Linked DNA regions of Ovis aries. The protein of the gene in region 1 interacts with the protein of each later gene in a pairwise test. Links are inferred from orthologs where the notes say so. Each region holds a gene or a part of one and is shown in the gene's direction. Other genes may lie near its edges. The genes, in order: KLHL2, CUL3, BCAM, TXNDC12, SDCBP and TMA16.

Evidence for each region.
Region 2: the proteins of KLHL2 (region 1) and CUL3 interact in binary tests that used the Homo sapiens proteins (3 or more experiments, as listed by UniProt). The two-hybrid records come from large-scale screens. The link is inferred for Ovis aries from reciprocal best matches to the Homo sapiens genes KLHL2 and CUL3.
Region 3: the proteins of KLHL2 (region 1) and BCAM interact in binary tests that used the Homo sapiens proteins (3 or more experiments, as listed by UniProt). The two-hybrid records come from large-scale screens. The link is inferred for Ovis aries from reciprocal best matches to the Homo sapiens genes KLHL2 and BCAM.
Region 4: the proteins of KLHL2 (region 1) and TXNDC12 interact in binary tests that used the Homo sapiens proteins (3 or more experiments, as listed by UniProt). The two-hybrid records come from large-scale screens. The link is inferred for Ovis aries from reciprocal best matches to the Homo sapiens genes KLHL2 and TXNDC12.
Region 5: the proteins of KLHL2 (region 1) and SDCBP interact in binary tests that used the Homo sapiens proteins (3 or more experiments, as listed by UniProt). The link is inferred for Ovis aries from reciprocal best matches to the Homo sapiens genes KLHL2 and SDCBP.
Region 6: the proteins of KLHL2 (region 1) and TMA16 interact in binary tests that used the Homo sapiens proteins (3 or more experiments, as listed by UniProt). The two-hybrid records come from large-scale screens. The link is inferred for Ovis aries from reciprocal best matches to the Homo sapiens genes KLHL2 and TMA16.

The regions. Positions count from the first base shown.
Region 1 is NC_056070.1:541,022-545,975, forward strand, and holds the start of KLHL2 (kelch-like protein 2), read left to right. Parts: upstream 1-1,888; 5' UTR 1,889-2,108; coding exon 2,109-2,134; intron 2,135-4,954. UniProt on the Homo sapiens protein: Substrate-specific adapter of a BCR (BTB-CUL3-RBX1) E3 ubiquitin ligase complex that mediates the ubiquitination of target proteins, such as NPTXR, WNK1, WNK3 and WNK4, leading most often to their proteasomal degradation.
Region 2 is NC_056055.1:226,659,761-226,664,271, reverse strand, and holds part of CUL3 (cullin-3), read left to right. Parts: intron 1-761; coding exon 762-932; intron 933-1,540; coding exon 1,541-1,648; intron 1,649-4,511. UniProt on the Homo sapiens protein: Core component of multiple cullin-RING-based BCR (BTB-CUL3-RBX1) E3 ubiquitin-protein ligase complexes which mediate the ubiquitination and subsequent proteasomal degradation of target proteins.
Region 3 is NC_056067.1:52,350,844-52,356,037, forward strand, and holds the start of BCAM (basal cell adhesion molecule), read left to right. Parts: upstream 1-1,814; 5' UTR 1,815-1,869; coding exon 1,870-1,951; intron 1,952-3,771; coding exon 3,772-3,893; intron 3,894-4,427; coding exon 4,428-4,656; intron 4,657-4,777; coding exon 4,778-4,848; intron 4,849-5,094; coding exon 5,095-5,191; intron 5,192-5,194. UniProt on the Homo sapiens protein: Transmembrane glycoprotein that functions as both a receptor and an adhesion molecule playing a crucial role in cell adhesion, motility, migration and invasion.
Region 4 is NC_056054.1:26,451,450-26,455,960, reverse strand, and holds the end of TXNDC12 (thioredoxin domain-containing protein 12), read left to right. Parts: intron 1-112; coding exon 113-182; intron 183-969; coding exon 970-1,053; intron 1,054-2,987; coding exon 2,988-3,067; 3' UTR 3,068-3,843; downstream 3,844-4,511. UniProt on the Homo sapiens protein: Protein-disulfide reductase of the endoplasmic reticulum that promotes disulfide bond formation in client proteins through its thiol-disulfide oxidase activity.
Region 5 is NC_056062.1:37,746,117-37,750,627, forward strand, and holds part of SDCBP (syntenin-1), read left to right. Parts: intron 1-1,232; coding exon 1,233-1,408; intron 1,409-3,173; coding exon 3,174-3,495; 3' UTR 3,496-4,023; coding exon of another isoform or gene 4,024-4,115; 3' UTR 4,116-4,511. UniProt on the Homo sapiens protein: Multifunctional adapter protein involved in diverse array of functions including trafficking of transmembrane proteins, neuro and immunomodulation, exosome biogenesis, and tumorigenesis.
Region 6 is NC_056059.1:2,386,255-2,391,459, reverse strand, and holds the start of TMA16 (translation machinery-associated protein 16), read left to right. Parts: upstream 1-1,991; 5' UTR 1,992-2,099; coding exon of another isoform or gene 2,100-2,132; 5' UTR 2,133-2,698; coding exon 2,699-2,866; intron 2,867-5,205. UniProt on the Homo sapiens protein: Involved in the biogenesis of the 60S ribosomal subunit in the nucleus.

The DNA.
Region 1 (4,954 bases):
ACCAGCCCCAAGTATCCTGTATTGAACCTAGACTGGCCATTTGTTTCTTATAGTATACATGTTTCAATGCCATTCTCCCAAATAATCCCACCCTCTCTCTCTCCCACAGAGTCCAAAAGACTGTTCTATACATCTGTGTCTCTTTTGCTGTCTCGCATACAGGGTTACCGTTACCATCTTTCTAAATTCCATATATATGCGTTAGTATACTGTACTGGTGTTTTTCTTTCTGGCTTAGTTCACTCCAGATATCTAAATGTCTACACCTATCCACACATGGATACTTAACGGACACCTCAGATTTAACTATGTTTAAATCAGAACTGACAAATACTCCCCTCTCCACATAAAATCTGTTTCTTCTTTATTTTCTCAATCTCAGTAAATGTCTATTCCACTCTCCTAAGAGCCCAGAACAAAACTTGAGATCATCTTTCACTCTGGTCTCTTATACTCATGTTTAATCTATCAGTAATTCTGATCTGCTTTATATTTTCCGAAAAAACAGAATCTATAAACTTCTATCACTTTGATCATCCCAGCAGGCAATTTTTTGTTTGCTTTCTTGGATCTGTGGCTCATATAGCAACAGAAGAATCAGCTTACACATAAATGACTAACCCTGTGCACTTATCACTCAGTAACAAAAATTAACATTTTTGCCATCTTCTTTCTTCCATTCCCTACCCTCCCTTTTTTGGTGGAGGATTTTAAAACAAATCCCAGCAAAGTCATCCTTTTAGTGATCAGATCACCTTGCTCACAGCATTTGTTTTTCTTTTCAATAAAAGCTGAAATCTTTTCAAAGGCCTACCAGGGGGACTACACGCGGGACACCATCTCCTTCCACTGTCTCCTGTCCTGACTGCTCAGATGCCAGAGAGGTCCTTAAACCTTAGTATCCTCTGGAAGGCTTGTCACAGCACAGGCTGCTGGGCTTCATTCTCAGAACTTCTGATTCAGATCTGAAATAGGCCTCGAGAATTTGCCTTTCTAACAAGTTCCCAGATCCTACCACTGCCCAGCGGCATACTTGGGGGACCATCAGCTGCACTGTACTCTTTCATTTCTTCAAGGTCCAGGAGTCTTTGCACTGCTCTCCCCTCTGCCCTGAGCACTCTGATTTACTCAAGATTCGCTTTCTTCCATCTCTTCTATATGACATATTTTGAGAGGCCTTTCCCTAGTGGCTCAGAAGGTAAAGCGTCTGCCTGCAATGCAGGAGACCTGGGTTCGATCCCTGGGTCAGGAATGATCCCCTGGAGAAGGAAATGGCAACCCACGCCAGTACTCTTGCCTGGAAAATCCCATGGACACAGAAGCTTGGTAGACTACAGTCCATGGGATCACAAAGAGTCGGACACGACTGAGCGACTTCAATCCTTGACCACCATTTAGCTTCCGGTCTCACCTGACTATTCGGTATTTTCATGGCAGGCAGGTACGCGGGCAAGGATACCTAATTTTTCTCTGCATCCCATTACAGTGCTGTAGATCTCTCCCAGTAAGTGCAACGAGGGGATCACAGCCTGAGAAGTGAGGCTCCAGTTCCTGCTTGGGACTCTGGACAGGCGAGCCATTTCTTCTTGCCTCAGTTTCACTATCTGTAAAGGAAGGATCGGCTACGCCCACTCCTCCCGCCTACCTGGCGGTAAACTGCGAGAGGACAAAACAAAGGCGCCTGTGGAGTGGAGCAGTCAGGGAACGCCAAACGCCGGGACCACGCGCTTTCCGGCCGGACCCCGCCCTCACGTCTCCCGCTCAAGGGTTCGGGCAGGAGAACCCACCCTGGGAGCCCACTCGGCAGCGGCAGGAAGAGGCGGGGCGGGGTCTTGAGGGCGCGTCACACCCGGAAGTGCCCTCCTGCCGCTCCGCCCCCAGCATCGCCGGCAGGCGGAGAGCGCCCGTGAAGTGCGGCTGCAGAGCTGGGCCGGCAAGCGGGGCCGCTTCTGGAGCGGGTGCCGGTGCAGGCGCGGGTGCGGGGCGGCGGTGGGCTGGCGCCCGGGCGGATGGGACGCGGCGCGACGGGCGGGCGGGGCAGGCGTCCGCAGCTGGAATGGTGCTGGCGGCGGCGGGCGCCGTAGAGCTGAAGCCCGAGAGGAGCCGCCATGGAGACGCCGCCGCGGCCTCCCGCGTGAGTGAGCGGACGGGCAGCGGGCGGGGCCGTAGCGGCCGGGCCGGGCGGCAGGCGGAACCCAGCTGACCCGCGGGCGGGGCGTCGCCGCGCGGGGCTGTAGGGAGGGTCCTCTGCTGGCTAGCTGGAGCCCAGGGAGGGCCGAGCATCGGCGGGATGGAGACACAGGATGCGCGCGAGGCCGTCGGAAAAGGAAGCTGCAAAGTACAGACACCGGTGCCGAGAGGAATTCCTCTCAGCTTGCCTGTTTCTCCGAATTCCTAGCAAAATTCTGTCCGAGGAGCTTGCCACATTGCTCGGAAAAAGCTGAACCGTGGCTGTACAGGTCATGTGACCTCTTTTACCTGGCACAGCAGAAAATCGTGTCCAGAAATCACAGCATCTTCTGTTTCTCTGGCACCTTGGGCGAATTAGTAGCGTACGACCTGCCAGGCACAGGTGTCTTTTCCTTGGTACCCAAGTACATTCAAGACCTGCAACAAAATTGCTTCCAAAATAAGCTGAACAGTTACTTGGGAGACATTGAAGAAACTGCATTATTCAATACAAGATTTTTCTTTAGCATTTTGTTAAAAGTGGACTATTAATCCGCAGGAATTTTGAACATTTCAAGTTTGATTTACTTTCTTTAGTTTAATCTTTATAAAGGGACAAGAGCCCTTTGAATCTGAGGTTTCAAACCGCCAGCAAATTTCTTCTGAGGAACCATGTATCTTTTTATGACCGCTTATTCTTGGAGCTTTATCACTTTTCATTTAGATTTGGCCAGCTTCACTTCAGGGCAGTTGTACAACAGCAACCTTTTATAGCTATTTGGCAGAATGCCAGCTAAATTTGTTTTGGGCTGAAAGTTTGTTTGATGTTGAGTCCTTTTAGGAGAGCTAATAGAATTCTGAAACTACAGTTTCTAAAAATGCCTTACAGAATTTTTAGCTTGAGTAGAACCAGGTCATGGGGATTAAGGAGTACCTGAGACTCTTGAATTCCTGGACTGGTAGGAACAAGAGCTCAGTTGCTTGATGATGGTTGTGGCTTTGAGGACTTTGTGATATGTTCATGTTGTTCAGCAGGTTTGGGAACACTCCTGAACCTCTAGGAAACATGATGATGGTTGTTAGCATCAACAATGTGAGCATAGCGTCAGCACATGGGTTGTGCTCAGGCTCAGGGGCATAAAAGGAATTGCTACCTGACTGTAGACAACACATGGTATAAAGGATATCTTAGGTAGGGTATTATTTGCCATAAACCTGCCCTGTTTATATCAGTTCCCTGCAGACCCTGTTTTGCTTTGGCAGCAAAGTGAACTAAAGGAAAGAAAAAGGGTACCTTAGAATGCAGATGAGAAAAAGCTTTGGGAAAGCAGGCTCTGAAGGGAGGAAAAGAACATTACACGTCATTTAAATATAAGTAATGAAAAATGAAATAAATGTGTGCATGCAAATACTGATAAACTGAATCTAATACAGATCAACTAAGCAGAATTTTGGGTGTCCAGCATAGTTCTTTGCTATTAAGGCTTCATCAGTAGAGCTGCAACAATGAGAGGCTGAGATGTAATGGAAAACCAGGGGTGAAACAAAGTTAAAACCAAAAAACTCCTTTCAGTCATTAGTGGCTTAAGTTGGTATACTTTTATTTCTGTTCATTTAATGATAAATAGAAATAGGTTTTATTTTCATTTGGTCTATCTAGGAATACTATAATTCCAGAACTGGAGTGTTTTTTACCTTTCTGTACATCAAAAATAGTTTTTCTTCCCACTCCTTGGCCTCTTTGCCTCCGCTCCCAATAACTTTGTTTTTTCCTTCGACACTGACTCATGGCTGCTGGATTTGAGAAATGACAGTTCTTAGGGAAGGAACTTTGCTGGGCCTCGCTGTGCTAGAACTGGGCTAGGAGGCCAGTGTCGGTTATTGAGAGGGCTCAGCTTTTCATAAGGTTAGATTTTTAGCCTGAGCTTAAATGCAAAGAAAGTTGGTTGATGGGGACCTACGTGCTTTGAATGATGTGGTTGGAAGCGGGGACTCACATCCTCTTTGTATGAATGTCTTTTTATTTGTGCAAATATTTGTTTCTCCAAATATTTGAAATGCCTGTCTCTACCTGGTACTGAGTATTATACTTTTGCTTGTGAGTTTTTTTAGCAACCGGTTTTGCATCATTTTCAAATCCCACCTTGCTCCTTCTCAGTCTGTTACGTCTGGGAAGGTTGGAGGCGACTGTGTCCAGGTCTCTGGTTCCTTTAGATGGGCTTGTTGAGATTAGGGTTTTTTTCCCTTCTCCTCTTTCTACTCCTTGCCTTCAAGCTCTTCTCATCCTTTTTGATTCTCATGTTGATTGTCATGGACTTTATATCTCTATTTGTTGTTTTCTGCATCCTTGAGTATATGTATCTTTTAGATTCTGTTATATTTTTGGGTCTGGGCAATATTAAAACCATGGGATATTTGCCTCTGATTGAACCTGAAAAGTGTTCAACTGAAATTTATATAGGTTAGCAAATGAGTCGTCTTAAGCAGTACTGAGATGTGTGAAAGGAAGTGTAAGCTGATCACCCCTGACCTCATGAGTGTTTTATACATTTCTAGCCTTTATAGTTATTTTTGTGAAGATTTTTATAATTACTGAAGACTATGAGTATAGCACAGAATGCATCCCTTTGAACTGAAAAGTTTTCTTGGCCTTCCTTTCTCTACTGACCCTCTTTCACAAGTTGGCTTTTTCCCTACAGGCTTTGGTTTTTTGCTTGTTCTTAATGAAGCTAAGTAAACATGCCTCAGATATACAACTGTACCTTTTTTCAGTTGATTCCACATC
Region 2 (4,511 bases), on another chromosome or scaffold:
AATAGTTTGATAGCATATATGGAAGCTCAGTTTCAAGTGTTTATAATATATGTGGGATCTTGGAAGCGTACTATAGCACAGAAAATCAAAATAAACAGATTGGGATTATGTGTAAATTGGTCTTGCTGACTTCATCTTGGGATTTGTGAGACATAAGGGCAAAGCAGCAAGTAGGTAGTAATAGCAGAGAAACAAGAGGAAGATTACCAAGGATACCGAATAGAAAAGACACATCTAAGTAGTCTTCCGTAATTTTTAATATAAACTGAATACAACCTGCCACAGTATCATCTTGCTCTTGTTTAAAAGATTAGGGGCAAGAGACCTTTCTGCTTTGGGAAATATAACATATTGTTATGCTTCTCTTTGAACAATTTCAATTTTGAATGAGCTCATATAAATTTTGTCCAATATGTTTTACAATGCAAGGGCACTGTAAAATTCTCTTATGTGATTAAAATTTCATTTCAGCTATTCTCAGTCATCCTTTAATCCAGCCATGTATCAGCCTCTCCCTTTCAGAGTTAGCCCACTGGGGAGTGGAGCTCCATTCCAACTTCTGATTCACGTTGCACTAGTTCAGAATGTAAGAGTGAGCTGTAGGAAGTGGGCCATATTTTCTCACATTATATCTCCTTTCTGACCTTGGTCAACCAGATATTTATGTTTGTTATTAATGTTGTTTTAAAACTGAACTGTGATGCTGTTTTTGTAGAATTAAAGCTGTGTAATTGTTAAATTGTCTTCTGATTGATTTGCAGCTAACAGAACAAGAAGTAGAAACAATATTGGATAAGGCAATGGTCCTTTTTAGGTTTATGCAAGAAAAAGATGTATTTGAACGTTATTATAAGCAACACTTGGCAAGGAGACTTCTTACAAATAAAAGTGTTTCTGATGACTCTGAAAAAAATATGATTTCTAAGTTAAAGGTAAGGTGTATTTAAGATGGAACGGAGTGCCCTTAGCTAATGTTTATCACATAATTGAGCACCAGCAAACAAATAATTGGGAAATAATTGATTTAAAATATTTGTTTTTGTAAATGAACAAAGCTAGATTTTGAGGGACTTGGGGTTTCTCTCTTTCTTTTTTTTTTTTTAAGAGAACGTTGTATTGAGATTTGTTCAAGTTCTGGGACGTTCACAGTGTACTGAAATTTCTCTTGGTGAAGCAGATATGTTTATGGCAATCTGAGGGAGGATCAGTACAAGGAAAGCAGTAAATGGAGTATGACAGACTCACAGAGTGTGATCCATAGGCCACCTGCACCCATATCACCTAATATGGGTGTTTCTTGTTAAAACCAGAGAGTTCTGGGCCCCACCTTCAGTTGGCTTTACGGAAATCCCAGAGAGAGTCTGGAAATTTGCATTTTAAAATAAAATTCGTAGGTTATTAATCCCACTAAAGTTGGTGCCTACAGGCATAAAACAACTATTAGAAAGATTTAGAAAGGATGGCAGTAACATGGAAGAGTTTGTATGTTTCCTCATAACAAAATCCATCATTTGTGTATATTTGTGTTTTTCTTCTACAGACTGAATGTGGATGTCAATTCACATCAAAACTGGAAGGAATGTTTAGGGATATGAGCATCTCAAACACAACTATGGATGAGTTCAGGCAACATCTACAGGCCACTGGGGTGAGACTCTTAAATTAATTTCTACTTATGTAAATGTTTTTTATATACAGTGTTTTGTAATAGGCATTTTCATCCATTTAGATAACTGAATTGCTGGTGTCGTTTCTTTAAATGTCATTAGAGACAACATATGTATTGTCTGTGAGGGCTTTAAAAATTATTTACCCCATATAACCTGTTTTCCTAACTTTTCTAATCTTAAAATATATTCTCATTCTTAAACAACTTAGTTTATCCTCCCTACTTGAAGGAATGCACTGAATATTTAATAGAGTTACTTGGCTGTTATAACCGTTATAGATTATGGAAAGAATACCAGGCTTAGGCAAACTTCTTGTTGCTTAGTCGCTCAGTCGTGTCTAACTCTTTGTGACCCTGTGGACTCTAGCCAGCCAGGCTCCTCTGTCCATGGGATTTTCTCAGGCAAGAATACTGGGGTGGGTTGCTATTTCCTTCTCCGGGGGATCTTCCTGACCCAGCAATTGAACCTGCATCTCCTGCATTGGCAGGCAGATTCTTTACTGCTGAGCCTCCGGGGAAGCTCCCTAGGCAAGCTTACTGAGTTTTAATACTTTTTCTTTACCCTAGGATGGTACTGTCTTATAATTGTTACCTGAGCTTTTTGTACCTCGTTATTCTTATTCATGTGAAAGATCGGGATAAATGGGCCTGACATCCTCAGGGTTGGTAAAGGGTGACCTGAGTAGAGCAGCGCTGATGCTGGTGTGTTGTAAGTGTGCTTTTGTATTGTGATTGCCAGAAGGCAGTGAGCTGCAACTTACAGTAAGACTTTTGAGTCCAGTGAAGTTTTTGAAAAGATTTCAGTGGGGTATAATGAACTTTAGGATTTTCTCTTTTCTTTTTTGTTAAACTTTTTCAACTTTGCATTCACCTTAAGGTTTTTTTTAATAAGTGTCCAAGTACCTTTTCTGTGATAGTTGAAGGCCTTTTGATTGAAAAATTACCATCTCTGTTTACTGTTGACCATTCTGTGGAGATCAGTCCTGGGTATTCATTGGAAGGACTGATGTTGAAGCTGAAACTCCAATACTTTGGCCATCTGATGCAAAGAGCTGACTCATTTGAAAAGATCCTGATGCTGGGAAAGATTGAGGGCAGGAGGAGAAGGGGATGACAGGATGAGATGGTTGGATGGCATCATCGACTCAATGGACATGGGTTTGGGTGGACTCCAGCAGTTGGTGATGGACAGGGAGTGCTGGCGTGCTGCAGTCCATGGGGTCGCAAAGAGTCTGACACTACGGAGCGACTGGACTGGACTGAACTGAACTGATTCTTTTGCATTGGGATTGTTCAACGCAATCATTTTATCAGATTCTGTTTCTTTCTATGAAATTTGTGCATTTTCTGTTCTTCCATTTTGACTGTTCAGATATATCCTGCACTTTATGGTGGAATATTCGTTTCATAATTTGTTAACCCTTTAAGTAGAGTACTTGTCGAGATGCTCAGAGTTATATATCTGCTGATCTTGTTGCAGCTTCCACTTTGTAGAGCCATTATTTGCATGCAATTCCTCACTATTTTGTAATTGTTTATACACTAAGAATCTTAAGCTCTAAGTCTCCTAAGCCTTTATTTTCATTAGAAAGATTTGATGAAAAGTGACAGAGTAATCAAAACAAATCTTGAACTTTCTGAAATCTTGGAGCCCTTTTAAAATGTCACCAATCCTCAGATATTTCTGTTACTATCTTAAAGGTTCTTGACCTGTTGAAATAGAATGACTCTTCTGTTTACTTTCAGAAGTCATATAACAAGTACTTTCTTAAAATTCTGAATACTTGTAGTATACTTTATTTAGACAAGTCATATTTATTATGCTGAAGGAAATTTTAAGTATTTGTGCATTATTTCCTGTGTTTTACTTTTTTCATGCGGATAAGGACAGGAAAACCACCTTGCTATCATATTTCTGTTCATTTATATCAACAAATTATATCCAGAGAGACTTTTCCAGTACCTTGTCTTTGTGTACTTGTCTCTGTCGTGTAGTGTCTTTGCAAATAAGCTGAATGGCTTAAAAATATTATTACAATAGCTAGAAATAAAAGGTCCAAACCATTAGAGCAATAGTTCTTGAGGTTCTTTCTCTTTTTATTTATTTATTTTTTTATTTTTACTTTATTTTACTTTACAGTATTATATTGGTTTTGCCGTACATTGACATGAATCCACCATGGGTATATACAGGCTCCCAATCCTGAATCCCCCTCCCACCTCCCACCCCATACCATCTCTCTCAATCATCCCCATGCACCATCCCCAAGCATCCTGTATCAAACATAGACTGGCACTTCGTTTCTTACATGATAGTATACATGTTTCAATGTCATTCTCCCAAATCATCCCACCCTCTCCCTCTCCCTCAGAGTCCAAAAGTCCGTTCTATACATCTGTGTCTCTTTTGCTGTCTCGCATACAGGGTCATCATTACCATCTTTCTAAATTCCGTATATATATATATGTGTCAGTATACTGTATTGGTGTTTTTCTTTCTGGCTTACTTCACTCTGTATAATCGGCTCCAGTTTCATCCATTTCATTAGAACTGATTCAAATGTATTTTTAATGGCTGAGTAATACTCCATTGTGTATATGTACCACAGCTTTCTTATCCATTCATCTGCTGATGGACATCTAGGTTGTTTCCATGTCCTGGCTATTATAAACAGTGCTGCAATGAACATTGGGGTACATGTGTCTCTTTCAATTCTGGTTTCCTCGGTGTGTATGCTCACTGTTTCTGTGCCAAGCATTGTTCTAGGCACTGGGTATACAGCAGAGAATAGACAAGAATCCCTACCTTGATGGAGCTCTTTCTAATCTGGGAGGCCTGATG
Region 3 (5,194 bases), on another chromosome or scaffold:
TTCCGGCTGTTTTATGGGAGTAAATTGTAGGGGACAAAGACAGATACTTCAGTACTGGTTGGTGCAAGCCCTCAAGGAAATGGCCCTGGCATTTATGACTTTCCTCCTTCGCACACACTCCACACACCCCCACGTTTATGAACCGGAACCAGAACCCCCCGGCTGGTTGGATTAAGGAAGGTGGAAGGGGGCTGTTGAGGAAAGGGTATACCTAGCAGCCCGAGCAGAAGGTGTATGAGCCAGGGGCAGGGGAGCTGGGGAGTGGGTGCCTGGGGTCCCTGTGTGGAAGCTTGTGCCAGGGAGCTCTTTTGTCCACTCTCGAGTTTGCAGTGGGCCGTGTTGGGCCATGATCCAGTCTGGGTGGGGTTTGCATGTGAGCCTGTGTACTCCTGCATTTGAGCCTTGCATACCTTCCCTGAGTTCTTGCTCCATGTCTTGCCTGGGCTGGACAGTACTGGGGACGCAGTAGTGATCACAACAGCCCTGGCCCTTCCCTTCCTGGCTCTCTGTCCAGTGGAGGAGACAAACTCATCCCCAGACAGAGCTGACCCAGAATGGGCAGGGCTAGGTGGGGGAGCCCAGAGGTGGGCACTTGACTCAGCCGAGGAGAGCACGGAGGGCTTTCTGGAGAAGGGGAGCTAACGCTAAAAGGTCACCTCTCCCATCTATAACCATCGCTCTCCTGTATGGACAAAGTAGCCTTGACAAGTCTAACCAATAACCCCCGTGCTGACCTATAATCCAAGATGTCCCTGGTGCCTGACCAGTGGTCCCTCTTCTGCCCATCCACCCCCCACATCTGATCAGAGGCCTGGGGAAAGTCTCCCAGCATGACCAGCTGCCCCTTACTAGCCAGTGTTGAGGGCTAGCTTCTCCCGGGTAACCAGTGAAATCTCACCCCACCCCCCAGCCAGCATCTAGGAATTTTGTCCCAGCCAGGCCTGCCTTGTAAGGAGCCCTGGACACTCTGATCTGTGATCCCAAGTCTGACCTGTGACCCTTCCTTGTGACCCATGGCAGGACTCCTCCTTTTTTTCCCTCAGGTGCCTGGGCCTCCTCCCCGCCCCCACTCACCTGTCAACCCCGTTTCTCTTCCCCTCCCCCCAAAGCTGGAAGGGAGTAAAGGGAAGAGAAAGGGAGGAAGGGGGGTGGCATTCCTAGGATTCCCTGGAAGGGGGGAAGAGAGGGAGGGCCCTAGGGAGGAAAGCTAAGAGAAGAGCACCCCACAGCCCCCACCCCTGCCAGCATCTCAGAGGCCTGGGCAGAGCTGGGTGTTGAAGATCGTTAGACATTAGAACTATTAGACATTAGAACCGGGTGGGTTCCAGGCCGCTGGTCAGACAGGAAAGCAGCCTAGCGCACTGGCCACTGGGGAGGCTGGGGATTGCTGGTTGGACTGGGAGAGGCCGGTGCAGGTCCACTGGTTGGACCCGGGCCAGCAGGTCGAAAACGACGAGGGGAGCCCACGTCACTGGCCGGGGAGGGAACGGGTCCCGCCAGTGAGAATGAGGCGGAGAGGATCCGCGGGGGTCCAGGGAGGACCCCCGCTCTGGACACCGGCCGAACTGGTTGGTCGGGTCACCCGCCAGGGGCGCTGGTCAGTTGGAGCCTGACACCCTGGGGCCGGGGGGGCGGGGAGCCTGGCTCCCGGCTGAGCGCTGGGAGGTCGGCTCCGGGCAGTGGGAGGTCCTGGCCTGGCGCCCGGCTTTGGAGGGGGACGAGGGGGAGACCGGGAGGGCGGGGTGGGGCGGGGCTGCCTGGGGCGGGGCCTCCTCGCTCCAGTCCCGGCGGCCGAGGAGTCCCAGCCCGGGCTCAGTCCCTGCCGCTGCCGCCCGCCGCTCGCCGCCCGCTGCCGCCGCCGCCTTGAACATGGAGCCCCCAGACGCGCGGGCTGGGGCCCGTGGGGCCCCGCTGTTGCTGGTGCTCGCGCTCCTGCTGGAGGCGCACCCAGGTATGGCTCGGGCTGAGAGCAGGGCGCGCCTGGGAGGCGCGGGGAGGGGAGGGGAGATGGGGAGGGGCTTTCGCCGACCCCAGGGACCCCAGGAAAGGAGGGATATGGAGTGCCCCTCCCAGGGAGAGACCCAGCGACAGCCTGGCAGAGGGCTGGGGATCCTCAGCTGTGTATTAGAAGCGATCTGAGAAGCCGTTGGACCCAGGAGTGCGGGCGCTCCGCTCCCTGCCCGCTCAGACGCTGGGATCTGCCCCCGCTCCCACCCCCGCCTGGCCCCTACTCCCCCGGACCCAGAGGTCCTGGCCTCCAGTGGCCAGAGTGCCTTTTCCCCGGGGACAGAAGAGACCAAAGCGGAACTCCCCGCTCAAAAGTTGTCAAGTTTTGAGAGGGTCAGGGACCCTCTGGCTAGAAACCAGCAAGTCACATGCGATTGCGGGTTCCCCCTATTCAGATTCAGAGCCCAGACTCTAAAGGACCCGCCCCTCTCGCCTCCCGCTCCATCAGAGAGGGCTGGAGCCCAGCCCCTGGGCAGTGACAGCGGAACCAAGTGTTTCCAAGTGACAGAGCCCCCCTTCCCGGGGGCCCAGATAAAGCCACGCACCTGCGTGGGGGTTGGAGGAGAGGTAGAGGCCCTCAGGGGCTGCGGGAAGAGAGAACTGGGGGAGAGAGAGATCCCTCTGACCATCCTTGCTGTCTCCACCGCTTGGACCCAGCCCTGGGCACCAGCCTGGCCCCACACTCCCTCCCATGGGGCAGGCCCGGGCCAGAGGTGGGTGCCTGGGAATCCAGGCCCCTGGCACAAGCATGGCGAACAGTGGGTCCCCAGGGGCAAAGCGGGGCCAGGCTGGGCGGGGAAGGGAGGGAGACTCTAAGAACTGAGAGCTCAGGCCGGATTGCCAGCCCAGAGGCTGAAAGAGCTCGCTTTTCACCTCTACCTGCCCGGATCCTGGGACTGGAGTCCTGGCCCTCTGCTCCCTTCTCCCTCAGGACCCAGGATCCGAGCCCTCCACCCTGTCCTGCTGTGAGGCACGTGCTGCTGCTCTCTCAAAGAGTTAGAGGGGCCGAGGCGAGGGTAGGGGGCTCGGGCAGGCCTGAGCCAGCCTGTCCCTCCCACATTCCTGAAACCTGCCCAGCCCTGTCCCCCTTCACCGCGCCCACACACCCATCCTGCCTCAGCTCTGGCCCAGCCCCAGCCCCCCACCCCCTCCCCCACTGCTCCGGATGGAGAGACCCGGGGGGCAGGGCTGGGCAACACGGAGACTGAGAGGAACGCAGAGAACCGTGAAACTAAGAGACGAGACGCAGGGTGAGGGGCGCACACGCGCGCACACACACACACGCACACACACGCAGAGGCGGTGACTGAGATGGAGATGATTATCCATCTCGTTGTGCCAGGCCCCAGGTGAAGTGCTGGAGGCTAAGGAATGAGCCCGCCAAGGCCCTGCCCTCAAGGGGCATTTGGTCTGGGGGACAAGCAAGGACACACAGGATTTGAGTCCAAGCGGATGGTATGGAGGCCACCGGGGCCCTGTGTGGCCCAGGGGAGGAGTCTTCAGTTCTGCAAGTGAACGGAGAGATGGAGAGACGTGCTGATGGGATCTGGAGCTTAGAGATGCAGAAATGAGAGATGAAGGGAGAGAGGAGCTGAATCTGAGGGAGCAGGGGCTGGGGGCCTGGACCCCTGGGTCTGGGGGAGGAGGGGCTGGGGGCCTGGACCACTGGGTCTGGGGGCGGAGGGGCTGGGGGAGGAGGACTGGGGACCTAGAGAGCTCTGCCTCCTGGTGGCAGTGGGAGAGAGCTCAGTCACCCTCCTGCAGGTTCCAAGGCTGAGGTCCGCCTGTCTGTGCCCCCCCTGGTGGAGGTGATGAGGGGGGAGTCTGTCACTCTGGACTGCAGCCCCTTGGGGACCCATGACTATTTCATGCTGGAATGGTTTCTGGTGAGTGCTGTGGGCTGGGAACGAGGACATGACAGAGCGGGGCCTGAGAGTCAGGGCGCAGTGGGGCTGCAAATGTTCATCCCCTCATCCGAGCCCGAAAGCCCCTAGGAGCCCCACCAAGCTGCCTTTCCATTTTACAGGTGGGGAAATGGAGGCCCAGCGAGAGGAAGCCCCTCTCCAGGGTACCCTGGTGTTGGGCACAGCTGAGGCTAGAATGAAAGAGGTCCCTTGGCTCTTGGAAGAGGACATTCAGAGGCAGACACCCAGAAGGCAGGAGCCCGGGGATGGGACTAAAGAGAAAGAGAAACAGGAGACCCAGGGCAGGAAAGGAAGACAGAGGTGGAAGGAGGGAACCAGAGAGGGGGAAAGGTGACCACAGACAGGGAGCGGGGGTGGGAGAGCTGGAGAGAGGACGGAGGGACCAGAGAGAGAGCGTGAGAGGAGACCCACGGAGCGGCAGAGGGAAAGGGGACACGGAGGAGGGCCCGCGGCCGGGCAGCCTCTCGCTGAGATGCTCCCCGCCTGCCCCCGCAGGTCGACCGCTCCTGGGCTCGCCACCGCCTGGCCTGGGCCGAGCTGCATGGGTCCAAGCTCTGGGACAAAGATCTCAGCTCCCAGGGCCGCAGCCCCCCATACCAGCTGGACTCCAGGGGGCGCCTGGTGCTGCCTGAGGCCCAGGTGGGTGACGAGCGCGATTACGTGTGCGTGGTGAAGACGGGGGCAGCAGGCATTGCCGAGGCCACCGCCAGGCTCAGTGTGTTTGGTGAGTGTCTGTGCCTCCCCTCCAACCGCCGCCCCCCTCCCACAACACACACACATCCTGGGAAAGGGCAGGGAGGTGAGAACCCTGGGAACCAGCTCCTGACTGTAAGTCCCTCCCGCAGCCAAACCAGAGGCCCCGGAGGTCTCCCCCAACAAAGGAACCCTGTCTGTGATGGATGACTTTGCCCAGGAGGTACCTTGGGCCGCATCTTGCTTCCAGGATTCTGAGGGGAGGAGGGGGTCCTGGGCTCCTACAGCTCAAGGTCGGGAGAAGCTGGGGGCTTGGGCTTCCCAGTCCAGGAGTAGGGGTCCAGGAGTTCCAACCTTGGGTCTCCCGGGAGGAGAGGCTTGGGAGCTGGACTCGTGTGTCTGGGTCTGGTCTGGTCCCCAGACTCCAGGGACCTGGCTCCCAGCCCGGGCGGGTCTGTGTCTGTCCCAGATAGCCACTTGCAGCAGCCGCAACGGGAACCCAGCCCCCAAGATCATGTGGTATCGGAACGGGCAGCCCCTGGCCGTGCCCCTGGAGGTGAACTCCGGTG
Region 4 (4,511 bases), on another chromosome or scaffold:
ATGTAGGGCCTCTCAGGCCACTTCAAGGACTTACCCTGAGTGGGAGAGGAAGCCACTGAAAGGTTTTGAGGAGAGAAGGAACATGATCTGACTTGAGGTTTACACTTAATAGGATGAAGAGGAGCCCAAAGATGAAGATTTCAGCCCCGATGGGGGTTATATTCCACGAATCCTGTTCCTGGGTAAGGTGAAAGGTCTTAATCTGGGGATCCATACAGAGGGAGAGAGAAGTGCATCAAGGCACTGACTCCACCTAGTGAAATTATATTGTTATGGCTAAAAACAAAAGCCATTTTCAAAAGAGAGTGATGGATTCTAAATGCTAGAGCCTCAGGTCTGAAAGAAAACTTTTCCCATTAACTAGCTGCTTTTGTGATAAACAATAAAACAACCCCCCTGTTCCCCCTCCAATACCCAAACTGCTTTTGTGAGCAATGGGAGAGTACTGATCATTTATTCATTTGTTTAGCAATCATCTTTGCATCAGCCACAAGTTAAACACTGTCAGCCACAAGTTAGGCACTACAGGAACCGAGAGAAGCCATAGTTCCCACCCTTGCCCTGTAGCACAGCTGAGGCAATGGGATACTGCAACCAGACAAATATCTTTTCAGAAACAATTTCCTGGGAGATATTTAATGACCACCTTGTCTTTGATCAGCATTCTGCTAGGTTCTATGGGGAATACAAATAAAAATATAGGATCCCACCATCATCAAGCAGAAAAGGAACATGCCAGAAAGATGGAACAGTATATAGGCATGGTTGAGGGTGGGGGTGGGTTGTGTTCAGGGAATTCCAAGGGATTCATTTTGATTGCAATGTAGAACACAGTGGGTAGGGTGGTGAGATAATGGGCTGCAAAGATGGGTAGGTCTCATTTTCCAGAAGGCCTAGTATATCATATAATGCTTGAAGTACCTGTCTGTTGTAGTTATTGCAACCCCTGTGCCATTTTGTCTACAATAGATCCCAGTGGCAAAGTGCGTCCTGAAATCATCAATGAGAATGGAAACCCCAGCTATAAGTATTTCTACATCAGTGCTGAGCAAGGTATGGCTATGTTGGGAGAGAAGAGGGAGGGTTGCTGCTAGGTTTAACTAGAATGAACCACATGCGAAGTTTGATGGGAAACTAATTCAGCATGTTCACTAAGCATCTTCTGCATGTAGCTTTTGGCTAGATGCTATGTAGGATATAGAAGAAAGAGAAGAGCAAGCCCCTCCTCTAGCTTCTTACAGTCCAGTAGGAAGCTAACTGACCCATAGGAAACTGGAGAACTGAGGCTTCCAGAAACAGTTGCTTGCCCTTGGACTCACAGTTAATAAGTCACAGAGCCAGGATTTCCGTCTACAACTTAGTTTTTTTCCACTGCACTAACACTATTCTTGTAAGAATTCAAAGGTAGGGGAATGCTGTTAGATGATCCATTCAGAAAGGTTTCATAGATAGTAAACTAACTTGATCTAGACAGGTAAGAATTTGTCTCTTTGGTCAGATATGAAAAGGACATTTCAAGCTAAGGAAGCAAGGGAAAAGGGTGTCAGGTGTAGCCCAACATGGAGAGTGCATGAGTCATGCTAGAGGGGATGATAACTGAATTGAGTCTTGAAGAATGAGACCTAACCAGCAGAGGGATGTGCAAAGCATTATTGGAGGCAGAGGGAACAGCGTCAGCACAAACATGTGAGGGAAGATTGAAGTCACAAGTCAGTCGTGGTTTTTTGTTCTCTAATCCTGAGTGCAACCATTCTAGAGGCAGAAGTTGGAATTCATGCCACATACTGTCACTGTTTTCCTTCTGAATTCTCCCTGCCATCTGTAAAAGAGGGTTATTTCTAAGTTGCCATGTGTCTCTTCCTTTGTCATGCTGCCAGTTTGTTGATCATTTTATGTTTTGAGTCCTCAGCACTCTTATTTCTCAGAATAGGGAGAGGAAAGATCTGGAGAGGTTATCCTCTCCTTCCCATGGGTAAGGAGAATGTTATCTTCCCTACCCAAAAGCAGATCCCTGGAGGCTGGTATTACCAGGAAGTTTTCCACATGGAGAAGGGCAACTGAACTTTAGGTCCCCAACTCTTGACCCTTGAAATTCACCTTCCTTTCAGAATTTCATGCAGTTACCCCTGCCATCTTGACGTGGGCATCATCCTTTAATATATTAGTCCAGATATGGACACAGAACCCTTACCTGAATTCCCCATGGCTCAGCTGACATGAAGCTGAAATATTCAAACCTGACTTTACTAAATGCTTGGGCAAAACTAAAGGGGTGTAACAAACTTTACTACCTGCTATGCTTTCTGAGATCCACAGATTGTGGCTCAACCCTAACACCTGGCCTGCCATTGTACAGGGAGCCTGTACCCAGCTTCCCTCTTTGATTCCCAAGATAGACAAGAAGACTCATCTCCTGTCTACCCAGGGCTTGCCTTCCAGGTTTCTCTTTTGCCTGAGAACTTGACTTCTTCCATACATAATTGGTACTGGACATAACCACCTCTTTCCGTGAAGAACCATCCTCCCTCTAAGCACACATACTTGCTCACATATCAGTGTAACCTCCACAGAAAATGAAATAAATGCAGCATTCATCCCAAACACGTGATGGAGATGATAGGAAGATGCTTTCTATTCCCTTAGTGTTGTGTATATTTCCAGCTTATGACAGGGATTCAACACTAATCCTGGAGGGTAAGCCAAAGTAACTGCTAAATAACATTTTTGTAGGACCTCGTAGTTTACAAAGGACATTTATTATTCATTCTCTCATTTAATTTTTATAATCTGTTTGAAGTTTGTAACATCACCTTATTTATAGATGAGAAAATGAATTCAAGAGACTTTCCTGGGATAAAATCCAGAATTAGATCTTAAATCCAGATCCTATGCTCCTCTTACATTTCTCCTAAAACAGAAAATTATGTGTTGGTTGTCAAATATGAAAGACTTGCTTCATGTTTTTCCCCTCAATGTTTATTTCACAGTTGTCCAGGGGATGAAGGAAGCTCAGGAAAGGCTGACGGGTGATGCCTTCAGAGAGAAACATCTGGAAGATGAGTTGTAGCATGAATGCATCCCTTCTTTCCTCAAAGATATTGTTCTGGAAGAAAGCAGCAGGGAAGGGAATACTGAGGAATCAGAACAATTGAATGGATTGGAAAACCTTGCTCCTTCCCACATGGGAAAGGCCCCCTCACTGTTGGAAGAATTCTGCTGCCAGAAACTAGTCTCCATGTTTGTGATCCAGCAGACTGTGGCAGACTTCCTTGTCCTGTCCCCTCTCACCTAACTATCTCTTTGTCATTGAAGGTAAAGAATGACACCTTTTGACATAAAACATGAGCCATTTGGAGATTTACTCCTCACACTGCAGTATTTGAATCTTTCCATTTCCTCCTGCTTAACTCACCTTGGTGGTGAAAAGAGACCAGAAGCATCTTCTCTATAATGTTAAACATTGCGGAAAGAGCTTATTATTTAAGACAACAAATTCTAAATGTAAAGCCGTAATTCTGCCCCACCAAGGAGCTCACCCCATCTCTTCTTTTTCTCCTGGGAATAATCTTGGGCTTCTTCCGGAATGCCTGCAACTTCCCTCCTCTTCTCTGGCTTGGCTTCCCTGTCTGCGCGCATGCGTGTGCGGGAATGGCTGTGTGCTCTGGACTGGCCCCAGCTGGAAGCATGCTTTCTTTTCCCCCATTAACTGTGGAAGAAACCTTCTAGCCCTAGATGGAGCCATTTTTGTCAAGTCGTCAACTGTATTTTTGTACTGGGATTAATAACAAAAAAAGAAAAAATATTAATTGTTCCATTAAACTTTAATAAAACTTTAAAAGGAAATGTGTTGTGATGGCCTTTTTCTTACTGGGGAGTGGAGGGAGAGCACTTCAGGAAGAAAACTAACCTTGAGAGCCTCATCCAAGAGCTCTATCTAGGGCTGTTCCCACACCTGCATCTCCCACATTCTAAAGGATGTCAGAGCTTGTCTCTTCTACTTTTCAAATACCCAAATTCCCTCTATCCTCACTGTCACTGTTTTGTATGGGACAGGCCTTTTCTACTTCCTGTTTACTGTTACAGCCTGTGACTTGACTACTTGCCTCTGATATTCTCTCCTGTCATCCATCCTCCTTAACTTCCCCCAGAGTAATCTTTCTAAAACACAGATGAGACCACGTCACTCCCCTGCTTAAAGCCTTTCCTGCCTCCTTCAAGAAAATAATATTAACATTAGAAAATATTGGGGCCTCCCTGCATTGGAGTCTGCATTTGCTGCTGTGCTTGCCTGGACCACTCTTCCCTGTGCTATCTACAGGCTTTGCTCCATCATTTCTCATTAAAGTTTCACTGACTTTATTAATAGTCACAGCCTACCCTCCCCCATACTCTCTTTTTCTTTACCCTGTGTATTATTTCAACAGTATAAAAAGAGGGATCTTATAAGGTATCACCTCCAGTGGAACACTGAGAGTGACAGGGGCACTGTTCATAACTATGCTGAAGTTACA
Region 5 (4,511 bases), on another chromosome or scaffold:
GGGGCATTTTCCAGGCAACAGTGACTTTCTAAAGTACATTACTTCACCTCTCACCTTACCAGATGGAAGAAATGAAACCTGGTTACTCTGTGGGGAAGCACTTAGGATCACTAAGGAGGTGCTGAGTCTTTACCCTGATTTGTGGGTTTCCAGGTTATTTATTGGGCTTCTTTTCAGTCTTCGGTCTCATAGCTCAGCGCATCCAGCCTTTGCATGTAGAAGATGTGGCGCCTGGCGGAAGATGTTTGAGGCCAGTCCGGGCCCTACCTGCCTCCCCAGAGGCTGAGGGCATTGTGTCTTTGCACACTTGTGGCTTGTGTGAGACCCTCATTGAGTGTGCTGCTCTGGGAAGCTCGCACTTCCCTGCCCTCTCTACATCCTAGAGAGAGACCACACTCTCCGCAGCTCCACCCCTGCAGCAGTTATCCTTGCAGTGGTTTGTCCAGTGGCCGAAGCTTGTAGGTGTAGCCACTCTGCTGGGTGCCGTCCTCAAGTACAGGATACGCAGCACCAAATCTGAGTACAGGCTACGCAGCACCAAATCTGGGGCAGCTCAGGACGGAGAAGGGGTGCGACCTGTGGTTGCTTTCATCTCTTACTGGCACATGCCTTTTACACTTGGCTTGTTGATAGTGTTCAGCATCTGAAATTTAGTTTACATGAGTAAAAATAGCCTGTGGGTTTAGTTCTCAGATACCTGTACTTGAGTTCTCTGTATTTACCTCGAAGATTTTTAAGAACGGGGGTTGTATTCCGTGTACCCACCTTTTTAGGCTGTTTAATAGTAGTGATTATGCGTAATTTAGCAAGCGAGTAAAGGAATTCTTCAGCTCAAAAGGTAAACTTCTGACCTAAACCTATCACTTTTCTTAAACTTCCAACACTTTACTGTCTTCCCTCCTAAATAATGACCAGGTGCAGTAATACCTGTTTGGTATTTTATCAGACTCATGGAACCTTACATTTCTTATAGTAATCTGACTTTATTTTCCTTAGTTTTTTTATTCCAAGGTGGAGGGGGTGATGGAATTTGGTCAGGTGAGTCATGATGTGAGCTAGAAATTACCACTCAGATCTTCCTGTTGCCTTGATAGCATTTTCAGTTTCCTTCTTGGGAGTAATGAAACACACTTGTGTAGTTTTCTCTTTTTTAAAAAAAAATTACTAGAGTAGCTGCCTAAACAGTTGGTTCCTGATTTTCCAGCACTTACTTAGTGATTTCCATCCTCCAGGGTATATTTGTTCAGCTTGTCCAGGCCAATTCTCCGTCCTCCCTGGTGGGCCTGCGGTTTGGGGACCAGGTACTTCAGATAAACGGCGAGAACTGTGCTGGCTGGAGCTCGGACCGGGCGCACAAGGTGCTCAAACAGGCTTTTGGAGAGAAGATCACCATGACCATTCGGGACAGGTGAGCCAACTAAACGCCACATGTGGACATTAAGGACTAGTTTTCCATTTTCTTAGGGTTTTAAGGTTCTGGAAATACAGCATTTTGTTGCGGAAAATAATCAAATATTATTGATTAGTTTTATATTTATACTCTTGTAGTTCTGTGTTGCTTTCACTTTCTTACATAGTTTGACTTTTTAAAAACAGTATTCTGGTTTTGCATACACCTTATTTCAGAGCTTACAGAAATTTGTCCTTTGAGAAGTTCCTTTCCTGTCTTAATCAGTTTCTCTGAAAAATGAAAGGTAACAGCAACAAGTGTCTGGACTTTGCCCCTGGTTTCCTGCTCAGAGTGGATACATGGGGGCCTACCAGTTCCCAAAACCCAGCCTGGCCTTCTGGGTGGCTGAGGCTCGAGTCCTTGGTGGGAGCATCATCTTTAGCTTGTTTATAATGGAACTTGCGGTACCTGTGCTACGGACACCACCACCTTCTCGGCCACGCAGGGGTTGAGGGGCAGACCTTGTAACACATTTTTAGCTTTGGCATTTTTGTTCATATTGGTTCAACTGGCTTTTGTCTACCTTTGTGTTTTCGCTTTGAATAATACATGGTAGCTATTAAGTAAACATTTTGCAGACAAATGGCACTTTTGCTCTTATGTGAGCAAAGTTTCAAAAAGTAACTTGGATCACCAGGAAGACATGACTGCTGTGAACTTTATAATGTAAAATTCGTATTTATTTTGCACATGAAACATGTGCAGTAACAGGTTGTCAGTGCTCAGAGCGGATGCCATCTTTCTGAAGCTCCTCCCTTTCTAAGGGACCGGGAGCTTCCGTCTTAACTGCTGCAGCAGCAAAAATACCTTTGTAAAGTTTTAAAAATCAAGATGTGAGAAATATTACAAAGGTTCTAAGTATTTCCTAAGAAAAATTAAGCTCCAGGAAATACTAAAAAGTTAATTCATTTTTATTTTTTTTCTTTTATTTATTTTTTTAAAATTTTTTTATTTTTTAAATTTTAATATCTTTAATTCTTACATGCGTTCCCAAACATGAACCCCCCTCCCACCTCCCTCCCCATAACATCTCTCTGGGTCATCCCCATGCACCAGCCCCAAGGATGCTGCATCCTGCGTCAGACATAGACTGGCAATTCAATTCTTACATGATAGTATACATGTTAGAATGTCATTCTCCCAAATCATCCCACCCTCTCCCTCTGAGTCCAAAGGTCCGTTATACACATCTGTGTCTCTTTCCCTGTCTTGCATACAGGGTCGTCATTGCCATCTTCCTAAATTCCATATATATGTGTTAGTATACTGTATTGGTGTTTTTCTTTCTGGCTTACTTCACTCTGTATAATCGGCTCCAGTTTCATCCATCTCATCAGAACTGATTCAAATGAATTCTTTTTTACGGCTGAGTAATACTCCATTGTGTATATGTACCACAGCTTTCTTATCCATTCATCTGCTGAAAAGTTAATTCATTTTTAACACTGATTTTTGTTCAAACGTAATGTTAATGTAAAGGAAAAAGCACATTGATAAACTGCATGAAGCATTGTGTTAATTCTTTGATTCTTAAAAGAAGGAAATCTTGATTAGTCCAGCCATAATGGAGAGAATTTTTAAACTTTTACACAAGATGTACATACCAAGGCAAATAGTTTTGAAATAATTTATGGTAACAAAGTATCCAGTACACCATAATGGAAATCCATTGACATGTTTACCTTGGAATTAACAATTTTAATTGAAACTGTTATGCTCACAGGCCCTTTGAACGGACAATTACCATGCATAAGGACAGTACTGGACACGTTGGCTTTGTTTTTAAAAATGGAAAAATCACATCCATTGTGAAAGACAGTTCTGCAGCTAGAAACGGTCTTCTCACGGAACATAACATCTGTGAGGTCAACGGACAGAACGTCATCGGACTGAAGGTCAGAGTAGAACTTACATTGTGTTGTTTAGTTTTGGAAGTCTCTTTTTCATTTGTCTGTTGGGGTGGTGCTGTTAGTGACCAAAATGGAGACATTCTTTGTCGCGCTGGCTGTGCCCTCATGTTACATCTAGAATTGTGGCCTCTGTAACTGGGGGTCAGGGTGAGATCTCTGAAGTCCCTTGAACTAGACTTCTGTGAATACCTGGGCAGTGAAGATGTTGATGAGATCCTGAATGAATGGTTGCTTTTTTGTCCAATTGCTTTTTTCAGTCCAGGGGTTGTAGGAAAAATATGAGTAATAGTTCATAGCCAAATTAGTACTTCATTTTTATGGTTTATGCCCTCTACAAATTCCTAAATAGAACTATTTTGAGGTCTAAAGGTTTTCATTAAGAATTAATGTTAGCAGAGGGGATGTGGTAATATTGTATATGGGGGCAATTATTTAATCTCTAGAAAAAGAATGCTATGTTGGCTAATATATTCAACGTAGTTTACTTAGTTTTGTTGCCACTGATGAATTAAAACTTGGTAAAGAAACTGGAAAAAATTTAAATAGCAGGAGTCAGGATTTTAGAGACATTAGCAAAACCTCAGAACATATATATTTCTTTACCAAGAATAACTTAGTTTTATATTTAATAGAGCCTCTCAGAATTTTCATTGTTTTCCACAGGACTCTCAAATTGCAGACATATTGTCTACAGCTGGAAATATAGTGACTATTACAATCATGCCTGCTTTTATCTTTGAACACATTATTAAACGGTAAGTAGAGAATTCTTTGACTTCATTCTGTGCTCATGTGATTTCATAGAGGCTCTGTACTTCCTTAATTCTCAAGCTTCTCAAACCTTTGGTACTTTGGTGGATGACATTGGCATTATTCAGAAATTTGAAGTATTTAAATTATTTACATTTTGGAAGTCCTCAGGAGTGAGGGCTGGAAGCTGAGGAGAAAGAAAAAAACAGGGGTGGCTGGGGCTGTCTGCCCGGTAGCATCTTACATTCTGTCCTGGCTTAGCCAGCACAGTCCTTTCAGTATCTACATGAAAGATAAATGATATTTAAAACATTAAAAGATGTAACTCCTGTAATGGAATGTTTGTTTACCCAGAAGCTGGAATAGAATGCAGCTAGCTCCTTTTGGGGGTTGTTGTGAGG
Region 6 (5,205 bases), on another chromosome or scaffold:
GCTTCTCCAGCAATTGTTACTCGTAAACTTTTAAAATTATGACCACAGAATAATAATTTAATGCTTACTGGATTTGCAGTAACACAGAACTCAGAACAATGATGTGCCCTGAGCCAGATTCAGGGAATAGGCTTGGGTGTGTGTAAGGCGGCTTCACAGGAAATGGTGAGAGTACAGAAGTAGGGTGTAAACACTATGGGTTAACTGTTCTCAGCAGAATAATACTTCCAGAGTACATACTGCAAGTCTGCCCTTGATTGTGTAGCTTCATGCACAATGCACTTTCACACACTTAAAAGCATTGCCCCAAGATTCATGGATCCTGTGGTCACCCACTCTTGGTTACAATTTAGTTTTAAATGGCTATATTTGTTGATTAAATACATGAACCTGTGCAAACATATCTAACAAACACACCAAACTTCACTATGTCTGTAGCTCCTTGCCACTGTCTGGTTTTCTCCTTTAATTCAGGTGACAAGAGTCTCTCCTTGACCAAATTCTACTTAGGTTCTTCTGAACTCATTTTTCAACTAGGCCTGGAATTTTGGCTTTCCTATTCTTACCTGATTGTTCAGTTTTAGTAGGGAAGTCAGTTTAGACAGAATCCCCAATCCTCCATATCTGGTCAACCTCCGCATCTATTAATATCAGGTGAAGGCTGATTACACCAGCCTGCCTATTTCCAGGTTGGGCTTCCCAGATGGCGCTAGTGGTAAAGAACTCAACTGCCAGTGCAGGTTAGACGGAAGAGACCTAGGTTCCTTCCCTGGGTCGGCATGATCCTCTGGAGGAGGCCGCGGGTAACCGACTCCAGTATTCTTGCCTGGAGAATCCCAAGGACAAAGGAGCATAGTGGACTGCAATACATAGGGTCACACAGAGTCGGACACAACTGAAGCAACTTAGCACCTACGCCATCAGGTTGGTGTAGCCAGAACACACCGTTATAACCTTAATGTTTCCTCATAGTACTTTCCATCCACCAACCCCGACTCTGCTCCTTGGCTATAAATTCCCACTTGTCCACGTATATTAAGAGTAGATCTCTCCCCCATTGTGGTGATCCTTACACAGAGGAGAAATCTCTTGAGTAAAGTTTGTCTTAACTTCCCCTGGGCTTCCCTGGTGGCTCAGCTGGCAAAGAATCCGCCTGCAATGCGGGAGACCTGGATATGATCCCTGAGTTAGGAAGATCCCCTGGAGAAGGGAAAGGCTACCCACTCCAGTATTCTGGCCTGGAGAATTCCATGGACTGTATAGCCCACGGAGTCGCAAAGAGTCGGACACGACTGAGTAACTTTCATTTCACTTCACTTCACTTCCGTTAGTAAGTGTCTTGAAAATTTTGCCTTGAACATAGGTCTCTGTTCAACTCTTTCAAAAGTGGATTTCTGAGACCACCACGCCTAAAACAACTTCTCTGCCTTAATTTCAACTTTATTTTTTAGAATACTAACACTACTGGAAACAATATGAATTGATAGGGTTTTGTTTTGTGGATTTTTTTTTTTCCCTCCACATTCTGCCTTGAAATATGAGCGGAGCAAGGGCATGGAAATAGTTTGTCCGTTCCCAAAGCCTTGCACACAATTTGCTGAATGAATATAATGTCCATGGAATCCTACCAAGTACAGATGGAACGAAGACACATCCTGAGAACACAGAAAAAGCAGGTGAGAGGAAGTCTCGAGTGTGCAGACGGGACTCTCACTGGTGAGGACAGAGCCTCGGGGGAGCCTCGCTCCGGCAGCCGGGAGGCGCAGACGGCAGGCCTGCGCTGGGCGGAAGCCTAGAGCCGCCTCGTCGGAAGAGGCTGTGTGGTCTTGGATCTGAGCGCAGGGCAGACGCCTGAGAGCCTACGTTTCCCTCGGCACCGGAGAGCGCCCGACTGACGCGTCAGTCTCCTGCGGCTCACAAAGACCGGGGTCTTGTTTCCCGGGACGTTTCAGGAAAGAGCACTCGCCCTCCCGCTTCCGGTCGAGTCGCGCGGCTTCTTCCGCCCCTCGTGTGTTTGGCGGGACTCGCCGCGCGACGGGCCGTCAGGTGCTGGCGTGTGCAGTCTGAGTTCCGGAGACTCGCACCGTGCGAACGTCGCCATGGTGGGTTCCCCCAGGTTCCTAGAAGGCCCGGTCAGTGCCGGGTCGGGGAGGCGGGCCGGCGTCGGGCGGCTGGGAGCGGGTAGGGAGTGAGAACGGGGGGTGGGGCGGGCGAGTGCTCCGCGCGGTCGGGTCTCTGGTCGGGGCCCTGCGTGGCTCCGCCCCCGGCCCGCGGGATTGCGTGAGGCTCCGCCCGGCCGCTCCTCAGCGGGTGGGGCGGGGGACGCAGGGGACGCGGCTGAACTGAGAGCAGCTGCCGCGGCGCGATCGCCTGGCCTCGGGTCCGTTCCCCGCCTTCCCGCCAGTGACCACTCCCACCCCAGGCCCCGCCTCCGCGCCTTAAGTATAAAGGTCAACTGTATAAGGAATTCCCGTTTACTACTTACTATAAGAAATCCCCGTTCCCCTCCTTGAATCTGTGTCCCCATGAGCCACTTAGAGGAAACCAGTATCCAAATTCTGCTTGCTTGTCTTTATACTTACCGCTTGTTTGTATTCCAGAGCTGCTCTTTCTTGCTTTTTTCGCTTCTGTTCTTGAGAATATTTCTTGAATACGAACATGCTGCTGCTGCTAAGTCGCTTCAGTCGTGTCCGACTCTATGACCCATCAGGCTCCGCTGTCCCTGGGATTCTCCAGACAAGAACACTGGAGTGGGTTGCCATTTCCTTCTCCAGTGCGTGAAAGTGAAGTCGCTCAGTCGTGTCCGACTCTTCGCTGTCCCATGGACTGCAGCCCACCAGGCTCCTCCGTCCGTGGTATTTTCCAGGCAAGAGTACTGGAGTGGGGTGCCATTGCCTTCTCTGAACATGGTTTTTAAATATTCATTTTTCAGTTTCTAACGAAAACAACGACATAGAAAGTTTATAGTGTGGCAGAAAGTTATCTGGCCTCAGTGTCGTTACTCCCTTTTAATTTTTTTTCTCCTTTTCATTGTATTTTCATTTTTCACGTCAGTTTTTGCTTCAGGCTATACGTTTGTGTAAATTCAGTCTTTTTTACGTATCAGTATGTGCGATTGCCAGCTCTTCATAATTTTCTAGCCTAACTACTGTTAGTAGTTGGATTGTGTGTTCGTGATTGGGGGTGTTCATTAACATTTGACTGTAGTTGTCCTTGACTGTCAGAACTTCACTTTTGTCATGCTGTACAGTAGGAGTATGTTGCCTTATGAGTCAAGGAATATAAATCTGTTCTCACTGGCACGTTTCCTGGCCTGTCGTTTTTCTGGTGCATCAGTAGTGTCTCTGTTGCATCCTGTCTTGAATTTAAACTCAGCTTGGAGCTGGAGGTTTTTCCATCTGTACATTTGTATCAGTTACTCTATAAAATTCTTTCCTACAGTTCAGAATGTGGGCAGTGGAGTCCTGGAAGATGTTTGGCACCTGTCTTTGCTAAATTATGGTCTTGATGAAGTTACTTAACCCCTCTAAAACTCAGTTATCCTGTTAAGTTGGAGTAATCATAGTGTCTACCTCGTAGAATTATGAAAATTAAGTGTAAACAGCTTAGCCCAGTGTCTAGTGCTTAGTGAATGTTAGTTATTGCAGTTACCTTTAGTAATAGTAGAGGTACCTGATGGTCATGTGTATATATTGTTTGGAAAAGTGTCTACTCATGTCCTTTGCCCAGTTTTTAATTAGATTTTTGTTGTTGTTGTTATTGTATGAATTCCTTTTATATTTTGGATACTAACTCCTGATCAGGTAGGTGATTTTGCCAATATTTTCTTCCAACTCCTGTAGGTTCCTTTTTATTTTGTTGATCATTTCTTTTGCTCTGCAGAAGCTTTTTCATTTGATGTAGTCCTACTTGCTTATTTGGGGGTTTGTTGCTTATGCCTTTGGTTTCATACCCAAACAGTCATTGCTGACTGTTAAGAAACTTTTCTTCCTATGTTTTCTACTAAGAGTTTTACAGTTGAGGGCTTACATTTAAATCTTTCATCTATTTTGAGTAAATTTTTGCAAGTGGTGTAAGGGAGGACCAGTTTCATTCTTTTGCATGTGAGTGTGTTAGGCGACTGTATGCTCCTCGGTTTTCGTCTCCTCACAACAAAAATTTGGAGTGACGGACATTAAAGCCCCCTCAGCATGTCACAGCTCTCGGGTCTTGGATAGACCGTGTTATAGCTCTCAAGTCTCGAATGGACCGTGTTATAGCTCTTAGACAAATCAGTGTTACAGCTCAGTGTTACAGCTGTATTTTATCTAGAAGACAGTTGGAAAGTCCATCTTTGAGGCGTGAGGGCATGTTGATCCAAAGACGCAAAGAGAAGAGCACCCCGCCGCGTGTGGGGGAGAGAGAGAGTGCTTTGGCTCCTCTTTTTATGTGTTTGTTTTTTCTCCCTGGGCCTGTCCTATATAAATTGGGCTTGCCAGGAGTGTTTGTTTTAACTGTGGTCCTCACTCCAGTCCTCGGACCTTCTTTTGTTCTACTTTCCCGGGCTTTTCTCTTCCTTATCTTTTAGCCAGTGCCATTCTGGACTCTCTTTCCCTATTCTAACTACCTAACATGAGTATTGCTACTCCAGCTTTCTTTTGCTTTCCATTTGCATGAAATATCTTTTTCCAGCCCCTCACTTTGTCTGTATGTATCCCTAGGTCTAAAGTGGGTTTCTGGTAGACAGCATATATAGGAGTTTTGTTTTTGTATGCGTTTAGCTAGTCTCTGTCTTTTGGTTGGAGCATTTAATATATTTCCATTTAAGTTGATTATTTATATATATGCTTCAGGTGTAAGCTTAGGTTGTTTACTTGAGATTTTTCATTACCATTTCCTTTACTGTTTTGGGTGTTTTTATAGGTCTTTTTTCATATGTTTCTCCTCCACCCATGCCCCCATGTTCCTGTAGTATTTGTTGTAAAGCTGGTTTGGTAGTGCTGAATTCTCTCAGCTATTTTCCTTGTCTGTAAAGCTTTTGATTTCTGTGTTGAATCTGGGTGAGATCTTTGGTGGATAGAGTAATCTTGGTTGTAGGATTTTCCCTTTCATCCCTTTAAATATATCCTACCACTCCCTTTTGGCTTGCAGTTGCTGCTGAAAAATCAATTGATAACCTTATGTGAGGGTTCCCTGTATCTTATTTGTTGCCTTTTTTTTTTTTTT